Linked DNA regions of Rattus norvegicus. The protein of the gene in region 1 interacts with the protein of each later gene in a pairwise test. Links are inferred from orthologs where the notes say so. Each region holds a gene or a part of one and is shown on either strand. Other genes may lie near its edges.

Region 1 (4,437 bases):
CACACACAGAGAGAGAGAGAGAGAGAGAGAGAGAGAGAGAGAGAGAGAGAGAGAGAGAGAGAATATGTGTATTAGCTCATTGGTGAGATGCTTAAATAGGTAAAGGCACTTTCCCCCAAGCATGATCTGAGTTCAATCCCAGAGACCTACACGGTGGAGAGAACTGATTCCTGCGAGTTGTTGTCCTCTCATCACATACATGCTACGGCTTGCATGGGCTTGTACAACAATAACCACGTGCCCACAAAACAAATGTTTAAAAAGAAAAGCATGAAAGAAAGGAAGGTGTGTCTGTCCTCAGAAAATAGGAAAAAGCATTAAAAGCTGGATCTGTGGGTCTGAAGGGACAGTTCTATGGCTAAAAATCACTAACTGCTCCTGCAGAGAGCCTAGGTTTGGTCCTCAGCACCCACATACCAGCTCACAACCATCTGGAACTCCAGTTCCAGGGAATTTAAAACCCTCTTCCAGTCTCTGCAGGATCCCGCATGTACAGGGCACACATACATTCACAGAGGCTTGCACACGTCTTTAAAAGCTATTTGAGGTGGGGTTAACAAAGGCTCTGTCGGGAAATCATTGACCTTGCTTTAGAGTCTGCTATAACTTCATTTTTAAAAAGTGCGTATTTATATTACAGAGATTAAAAATGACTTTTAAAGCCCCATCATGCACTTTCTGGAGGCCATTGAAGGTTGACCATAGGAATGATAGTAAGCCCATCACATTACTTTTAGATCTTGATTTTCCTCTGCCCATGGAAAGAGTGACATGAAATCGTCCAGGGTATCCACCACTGCATCCACTTGACACTGCTCCAGCTCTGTCTTCCCAGCCAAATCTATGGGACAGAAAAAGGCCATTTTGTATCTAGCAACATGCTCAGTATACACTACTACTAATGTATCTCATAGGGGACATAGAAAATTCAGTGTGAAACAGTTGTGAGTCAGAAGACAGAGGTTGGCGGTGGAACTAGGGACTGATGGTAAAATTCTGTAGTCCATTCTTCTTTGTACAGCCCAAAAAAACTCCAGTTAAAAATCTTGTCCCAGCTTTCATCATAAAATTTCAACTTTAAGAATAATAGAATGTCTTAACCCTGGGACAACAAAGCGCCTTGACTGACAGCCAGACAGGAGCTCAGTCACGGAACCCTAAGTATCTCACCATGAACCTAGATAGGAGATAACCATGCCAACTACTGCTGAATCCTGGGAGCTGTGGCTCCTGATGGTCAAATATACAGACAGTGGTTAAGCTGTGTCTGTGGCTACAATGCACTGGATTTTTTTGTTTGTTTGTTTCTGTTTGTTGAATGTCATGTTCCTCTCAGCTGTCACATTCCCTTCAAACTGAAACATTTTGTTCAGAAGGAAAGCAGAGGCTCTAGCCTCTGGAGGTAAACAAAAGAGAAAATTGGGATTAAAAAAAATTACCAAAACTTGCAAGAATAAGACATTTTTTTAAAATTTAAATTTTTATGTGCATATAGATACGCAAGTACTCCACATGCCAGCAGTTCGGAAGAGCCTGTCGAATCACCAACTGCGGTTACAGACAGTTGTGAGATGCCATATGGGTGCTGGGAACATAGCTCTGGTACTCTGGTAGAGCAGCCAAGTGCTATTAATTGCTGAGCCATTTCTCCAGGCCCAATTTACAAGATCTTCAAAGCCTTCAATATAAAAAAGAGTAAACACTGACTGCGATTTCTTTAATTTTTTTCTAACAAGTCATTGATCTTTCTAATCTTTTTCTCACTGGTGCCAATTGGTAATGATTCAGCGTTAAAGTCTTGTAAAATTGACTGCTTTTGTATCAAATTACTAAGCTCAAGGAAATCCAAGCTGCTGATGAATAGCTCAGATAAACAACACCAAAGTGAAGCTGTTCCAGGGTGAAAGAACATGACTGTTGCACTTACTTGTAACTCTTACCTGTGATTTCTGAGAATTGATTCCTCTTACTAGCCTGAAAAAGCCACTCACCGTCCCCTCACTTCCCCACAGCCATGGTTGGACATCTAGGATCCAGGGTTTGGCGGTTACTTTGCATCAGGTGATGCCTCAGTAGACATTTCTACTTCTAAACTGCAGTAATCTCCCAGTCCCCTTTGAAAATATTCGGGGCTTTCTTCCTTCCTGAACTTCCGGCATCAAATTACCCACCGGCCACACCTGAAACCTGCAGTTCCCTATTCATTCCGCGAGGGCATGGCTACTACTGTGAGTCGGCCCTACAGAAGCTAAGAAGTTCCAGCGTGTTTTGAAAGAGAGAGACTCCTTACCTGTTGGCCTCCTGTCGCTGGAAAACCTGATCCGGTAAGGGGTACTGGGATTGAGGACTGTGTTTACAAAAAACTGAGAAGACCAGAGTGCCAGTGCTATTGTTGGTGGGTGTTTGTGACATCCTCCCCTCCCCGTCCACAGTGCTCTTCTGAGAATGACAAAGCCTGTCTACTGTACCTTTTAGCCCTTCCTTCTCTGCTGCCTAGCCCTACAAGGGTTTTGCATACTTTCTCAGATTCTCCACACTCCCCTTTCTGAGTTAACTCTACTCAGGGAAGTCCATGCCTTGGATTTTCTAACCAGGTTCGGTGCATTTTGCTAAGGAACCCTCCTTCTCTACCCTACAAACATGAAGGTTTTGTTGTTGTTGTTTATTTTTTTCTTGTGGTTTTTTTCTGTTTACTCCAAGGACTGAAAGTCTGGTGAGTCTAAGTGAGGTCCATTTGCCTGCCTCCTCAGTACTATCAGGAAGTCCTTGATAATGCAAACTTTTCAGGGTCCTTCGGGAACCCAATGTAGAAGCAAGGAAGAGTGGATGGGTTCTATACAGCCTCCAGGGAACCTTGATGCACATGAAGGCTGGAGGCCTTGGAACCCTAGACATCCTCTGAGGCTCCACCCAAACTTTTCTAAGTCCAACGTCCATAGACATATTCAATCTCCTCTGACCCTTCTCAAGCCTTCACTTGTTGAAATATCTGCTAGTACACCTTTTCATGTGCTTAAACTTTTAAAAATTAATTTTATTTTATGTATATTGCTATTTTGCCCTCATGTTCACCATATGTGAGCCTGGTGCCCATAGAGGACAAAAAGCCTTGATCAGACCAACCAGATCTGGAGTTACTGATGGTTGTGAACCACCGTTTGGATGCTGGGATCCAAACCCAGGCCTCTGCCAGAACAACAAGTAGTCTTAAGGTCGAGCCGAGTCTCCAGCTCCATGTATATGTTTGAAACAAACGACTTTGTCCCCCAAATGGGAGTCTAATCATTAGGGTCACTTGGGTGCTCAGCGTGTTTGGATAATGTGGTGGTGGCAGTGGGGTGGGGGTGGACAGTGCTAATTCTAGTAGATTATTTAAAAAGAAAAAGATCTTTAAAAGAAGCCCAAAGTTGCTTTTTAAAGTGAGACGAGCAGGAGAAGGGGAGCAGGAAGTGAAGAATGATGAAAGGAAGGCAGGTACCACCTCTGCTACCTGCGCTCACTGCCATGGTGAGCTGTGTTAGGGAAGCCTCAGGTGACACTCAGTAGATTAGGGAAGCCTCAGGTGACACTCAGTAGAGGCAAGAATGCCACTACCCTATGTTTTTCAACACCATCAGAATGAAAGACACGGGATTATGACTCCAACAGGTCAACAAGTTCCAGCCTTCATGTGCTGTATGCATTTTTGGCTGTTTTTGTCTGGATCATAATACTTGATGTTAGTATGATTTACCAATCCATTTTTTCCAGCTATATTCTAGAAAGGACATGATGGCAATGTGGCATAATGTGGGAGGAGGCAGGTACAGTATACAGAGAGGTTACTGGTGTGGTAGCACATGCCTGTCATCCAAGCACCAGGTAGGCTGTTACAGAAGGATAAAGCATTAAGGCCAGTGTGGGCTACGTAGCAAGTACCAGGCAAGTCAATACAGCAAAGTAAGACCTGTACATAAAAATATAAAGTAGTAAAATAAAAGAGCTGTCTAGAGCATCCACAGAAAGTTCTGCTAACATAGATGATACATTTATATTATTCTAATCTTCATAGCCATTCTTAATTGCACCACAGTTGAATAATAACATTTACTGAAGAAATACTAAAGAAAGCACTACCCCCACCCCAGTTATTTAAGGCCTTAACTAACAACAGGTATATTACCTGTGTTTTTGGTCAAATATCTTGCTATTGCGAGGCTCTGGTGAAGTGTAAGTCCTTCCACCTCCAAAACAGGGATTTTGCCAAATGGAAGAGCTAAAACAGACCAAGTGATGGTTCAGCTTGAGAGCAGAACAAGGAACGACAAGAGAACTCAAAACAATAGGAACAAAGCATTAAAGTCACGAAAATTCTTAAATAAGAATATATGTGTATATATATGTTTTTATATAATGTATATAAACTTTAAAATATTACTTTAAAAAATACTGTACTGT
Region 2 (5,015 bases), on another chromosome or scaffold:
TGTGTTCAGAGCAAGCCTGTTTGGGCTGTGGACTGTTATGAGACTCTTGTCTCAAAAGAGGTTGGGAATGGGTGGGGGAGAAAGGAATGAGGATGTAGTCTGTAGAATATGGTGGTAGCCACCCCTCACTTCAGTAGTCCAGTGCCAGAAGTCATGAGTTCAATACTATTCTAGGCCATCTGCGATGGTGTCCCCTCCAGCCCGAAAAAGAAAAAGGACTTGACTCAACCTTGCATGGTAGTTCATGTTTGTGAGTCTAGCATTCTGGTGGTTGGGAGAGGAGGATTGTTGAGTTTGAGGGCCCAGCATGGACTACACAATGTGTTCTAGACTGGCCCGATCTATAGTGTGAGGTCCTGTCTTAAAAAACTAAATAGGGATGCTGGAGGGATGGCTAATGGGTTGAGAGCATTTACAGCAGCTGGGAGCAATTCAAGGTGCATGCCTTTAATCTCAGCATTTGGGTAGAGGCAGACAGATCTCTCTGAGTTTGAGGCCAGTCTAGTCTAGGATGAGTTCCAGGACAGCTAAAGCTACATAGAGAAAAACTACAGAGAACAAAACAACAAAGCACATTTACTGCTCTTGTGAAGGACCAGAGAGTTCTGTTCCCAAAACCCATGTAGTGGCTCACGAGCAACCGGACTGCCCATAACTGCAGTTCCTGGGAATTTGACACCCCCTCCCGCTTGGGTTCACTTGTTTGTTTGTTTTTTTTTTCTTTTTCTTTTTTTCGGAGCTGGGGACCGAACCCAGGGCCTTGCGCTTGCTAGGCAAGCGCTCTACCACTGAGCTAAATCCCCAACCCCTAGGACTTTGGGTTTTTTTTTTTTTTTGTTTTTCAGAGCTGGGGACTGAACCCAGGGCCTTTTGCTTGCTAGGCAAGCGCTCTACCACTGAGCTAAATCCCCAACCCACTTGGGTTCATTTGTGATCCACATGAGAGTGCAGCCAAAGTGCACATACATAATAAAAAGATAAAGCACACCCTCTGCCCCCTACACACAACTCAAAAAGAGGGCCAGTGAGATGGCTCAGTGAGTAAAAGGTTCTTTCCACTAAACCTGAGGATCTGAATTTAATTCCAGGGATTCACTCGGTAGAACAGAATCGATTCCCACACTCTTTTCTGACCTCTACAGGAACTCCATGGGACAGTAATGTTTATGCACAGACAAATAAATAAAATTGGACTGTAAAGATGTTTTGTCGCCTGAAATGGGAGTGGAATCTCCTGGAAATAGAGTTATAGATGGTTGAGAACCACTTTGTGGGTGTTGGGAACTGAACCTTAGTTCTTTGTAAGGGTAGTGTTCTTTTTTATGTATTTTTTTTTTCCCGGAGCTGAGGACTGAACCCAGGGCCTTGTGCTTGCTAGGCAAGCGCTCTACCACTGAGCTAAATCCCCAACCCCAAGGGTAGTGTTCTTAAACGGTGAACACCTCTCCAGCTCCAGATTTGAGACCCTAAAACTGCTTTTATTGCCTCTTCCAGGAATTCAGGGAGGGGACGGGCGGATGGGAGAGCAAGAATAATTTAACCAACCAAATGGGCATGAAAACTCCAACCTCTGAACCCTTCTCTATTTCTATCAAAGCCACACCCTATCCAGGCCCCTCCCCTAGACCATTCGGTTCCGCCCTCATTCCAGGCCCCGCCCCTAGACCACCGCTCTTCACCAGGTATCGCGTGCCCAGCCAAGCTCCTTTAGACCTTCACTTCTGCCCCGCCCCCATGAAAGCCCCGCCTACACAATCAGGTTCCGCCTTGCAGCTCGAGCCCCGCCCAGCAATCCCTCCTGTGGCCCCACCTCCAGCACGTGTACCTCCCTCACAACAACCCATCCAATCCGCTTCGTGATCGCTTTGCCCCGCCCCCACGACCAGCGGAGTCCTTCTCGCTTGCGCATTCGCCTCGCATCACTTCCGGGGCGGTGTTAGAAAAACTCACTTCCGCCCGCGGCGGAGCTGCGGTGGTGGCGGTGCAGGAGGCTAGGTCGGGGCCCCCGGGGGACAGACGGACGGACGCACGGGCGGGCGGCCGGGAGCCATGGAGTGCGGCCCCCGGGCCGGCGGGCGCGGGCGGCGGTGAGTGCGGGCGGGCGCGCGGGGGCTGCGGCGGTTTGCGGAGTGGGGCCGAATCGAGCGGGGCCCTGCGTCCGATACTTCTTTGCGCTCTCCCGGGATGGCTACGGGACCCGGTCCCTGGCATCCCCATGTCCCCGTCCAGCGATCCTGGAGTGATCGCTTAACCTCCTCAGGACAAGGCTGTGCCCCCAAGACGCCCGGGGCCCAGCCGCAGACCCAGCCCCTATCCCACACCATCTCTGCTTACATCGTCTGCTGACATTCACCGGCCACCTTTGCCCCTCGCCTGGCGTCTTCCTGTCAGCTGGGGCCCACTGCAGGCTTCCCTTTTGCGGTCCAGGACTCCTTTATGGTTCCTTATCACCCCCACCATGAAGTCCTCATGCTGCAGCAGAGCCTGAGGGTACAGCTTGAAGCAGGCCCTGCTCCCCTGGGAGCCCTTGCAGTTTTTCGAGTCCTCTCTCGCCGCCCGGGTTTACCTCTCCGGTCACTTAGCTATTTCTTTTTTTCACGTGTGTGTTCCTACGCAGAGGACAGCGGACAGCTTTGTGGAGTCCTCCCCTACCCTGTAGATCACCTGATCCAATTCGGATCTTCAAACTTGGTAGCAAGTGCCTTTACTTGCTGAGCCATCTCATTCTACATTCTAGCGAGGGTTGCCACCCTACTATGACTTGCTGGGTGAGGCTTCCCGATGCAGACAGTCATATGTAGGTCATCCTAGAGCCCTTACAGTAGCCTGCATGCTTGTAACACTAGGGTCTGGTTTTAAGTTTGTGATCACAATACTTGGGACTTTGTGGCAGTGAGTAAATAATCTTGGCTTACAGTACCCAATGGCTCCCATCTGTGACATGAAGTCCCACATGCTGTCTGCCCTCTCCATTTAACACTGGCAGACCCTGGGGGCTTATGTCTTTAATGTCTTTCTCCTACACCTTCACTTTCTCTGGCTACTCTGCACATGGTTGTTGAATGGAAGTGAGTAGTTATTGGTCCTAGTGGTTCTGCCCCTGTGGACTTTCTTATGGTAAGGTGGAGATCTAGTTAACTGTAGAAGTATTTAGAATCATAAATATGAGGGCTCCTCACCATATGGAGGACTCAGTGTGCTGGTGTAGGTAGGGACAGCCTCAGGAGGTAAACTGAGGCCTCTCCTTTCTTCACTTGTCTACAAAACATACTGCAGGTTGAGACCCCTGAAGTTGCACACCTGACAAACTGTGGCTAGGGATGAGGTCTGTGACTAGGAAGGAGGACTCCTTTAAAAGGGAGGTCACTCGATGGGTGTGTGACCATCCTGTACAAGGTGTCAAGGTAGCCCGGGTGAAGAGGACTCTGACATGGGATGATAGTGGCTGGGATGGATCTAGGCAAGGAGACTAGAGTGCAGTAGCCATGGATGGACCAGCTGGCCTAAGGATCCATTGGAGTGGCCTGGAGGGGAGTGTGAGGGGCAGCACCCCCTTTCCTGGCCTTATCTCACCTTATCCTTTCTCACTGGACTGCAGACCGCCCCAAGCCCTCTGTTACTAAGGGGTATTACATGAGGAGACCTTGATGATAAAGTTGGTGTCTCTAAACATTGACCTCGTGGGTATTTGGGGCAGGGTCATTCCTTGATAATAGCTGTTCCAGGCTACTCTGTGTCCCTGCTAGGTGTGCTCTCAGTTACAGATGTGGTCTGGTGTCTCCTTGGGCCCCACCTGCTCCATCCTAGGAGTGCTCTAGGTTACAGATGTGGACTGGTGTCTCCTGGAGACAGGTTCAGTCGCATCGTTGAGAATTGTGGCCTGGGAGCTGGGGACTTCTCGCACTGTCTTTGTCCTTACTCTGGGTGTCAGCTGGTCTCCCAGTGTGCCTCTGGATTGTTACAGACTGGGGCATCACTCGACCTAGCTGCTGGCCTCAGGCTCATGGGCATCAGAGATGTGTGTGTGGACGGGCTCACAGCTGCCTAAGTGTCATATGTCTCCTTTGCCTGTTATCCATGTCCCTCTGTCCCTGTGGGTTTATATGCTGTGACCTAAAACCCAGATGTATGTGGATATCCTGTTAAAATTGTACTATGATGTCTCCTGCCTTCTTCCTAGGCTGTGAGAGATGGTGGTGGGCTTTTCTGGAAATGTCTCTGTCTACCCATTGGCAGCTCTGTGTACAGTGGCAGTGGCTTTGGTGTCACTTGAACACGTTTCAGGATGTCCTGCAGAAGTGGAACATTTGGGTTTCTATTGGAGTCAGGCCCTGTCCCCCACTTCACTTCCCTCCTGCAGTTTGCTGCCTCTCTGAGGCAGGCCTGGGAGGTTGGGTGACCGAACCCTGAGGTTACAGCTGCCTGAGGCCACAGCTGCCCTGACCCTGGGGAGACACCCTGGCCCCAAGCACAGGGACAAACCATTGTCCCAGCCAGTGGGGCCCTGCGTCTGGCACGCATCCTGTCCTTGTTCCCGGCCTTTGTGTCTGCTTCCTTCCTCCCTTGGGTTCTGTCTCTCTGTTCCAAGGCCCCACTGCTCACCCCTCCACATCCTCCTGTGTGGGAGCCTCTGAGCCTTTGGATCCCTTTGGCTCAAAACCTGGGGCCGCCTTTGTTACCTGTTCTGGAGGATAACTCCTTCAAGGACTGAGGGAGAAACTGGTGGGGCATGTAGAAGGGTCTGGACATAGGCCTGGGGGTGCTGGAATGGCTGAAGCTGGGGGGCATACATAGGAGTTCTGCAACAGAGGCCCAGGAGAGACTGTGGGGTAAGCTAGGGCTGTGGGCAGGCCGAGAGGACCAAGATAGACCGTGGATGTGGGGACAAGCCTTCCTCCCTGCCTGGCACAGGCTGGCATCTGGTTCTACCTTAGCTTCCTGGAGGGAACCCACATGTCGGTGTCCCCCGCAGGGTGTCCCACTGTATGGCATGGAGACCTGTGGCTGTGAGGCTC

What was found.
Region 2: the proteins of Hpgds (region 1) and Abhd17a interact in binary tests that used the Homo sapiens proteins (3 or more experiments, as listed by UniProt). The two-hybrid records come from large-scale screens. The link is inferred for Rattus norvegicus from reciprocal best matches to the Homo sapiens genes HPGDS and ABHD17A.

The regions. Positions count from the first base shown.
Region 1 is NC_086022.1:95,713,520-95,717,956, forward strand, and holds part of Hpgds (hematopoietic prostaglandin D synthase), read right to left. Parts: exon of another isoform or gene 4,256-4,437; coding exon 4,163-4,255; exon of another isoform or gene 842-4,162; coding exon 732-841; exon of another isoform or gene 1-731. UniProt on the Homo sapiens protein: Bifunctional enzyme which catalyzes both the conversion of PGH2 to PGD2, a prostaglandin involved in smooth muscle contraction/relaxation and a potent inhibitor of platelet aggregation, and the conjugation of glutathione with a wide range of aryl halides and organic isothiocyanates.
Region 2 is NC_086025.1:9,773,077-9,778,091, forward strand, and holds the start of Abhd17a (alpha/beta hydrolase domain-containing protein 17A), read left to right. Parts: upstream 1-1,939; 5' UTR 1,940-2,087; intron 2,088-2,099; exon of another isoform or gene 2,100-4,829; intron 4,830-4,972; 5' UTR 4,973-5,015. UniProt on the Homo sapiens protein: Hydrolyzes fatty acids from S-acylated cysteine residues in proteins. Has depalmitoylating activity towards NRAS. Has depalmitoylating activity towards DLG4/PSD95. May have depalmitoylating activity towards MAP6.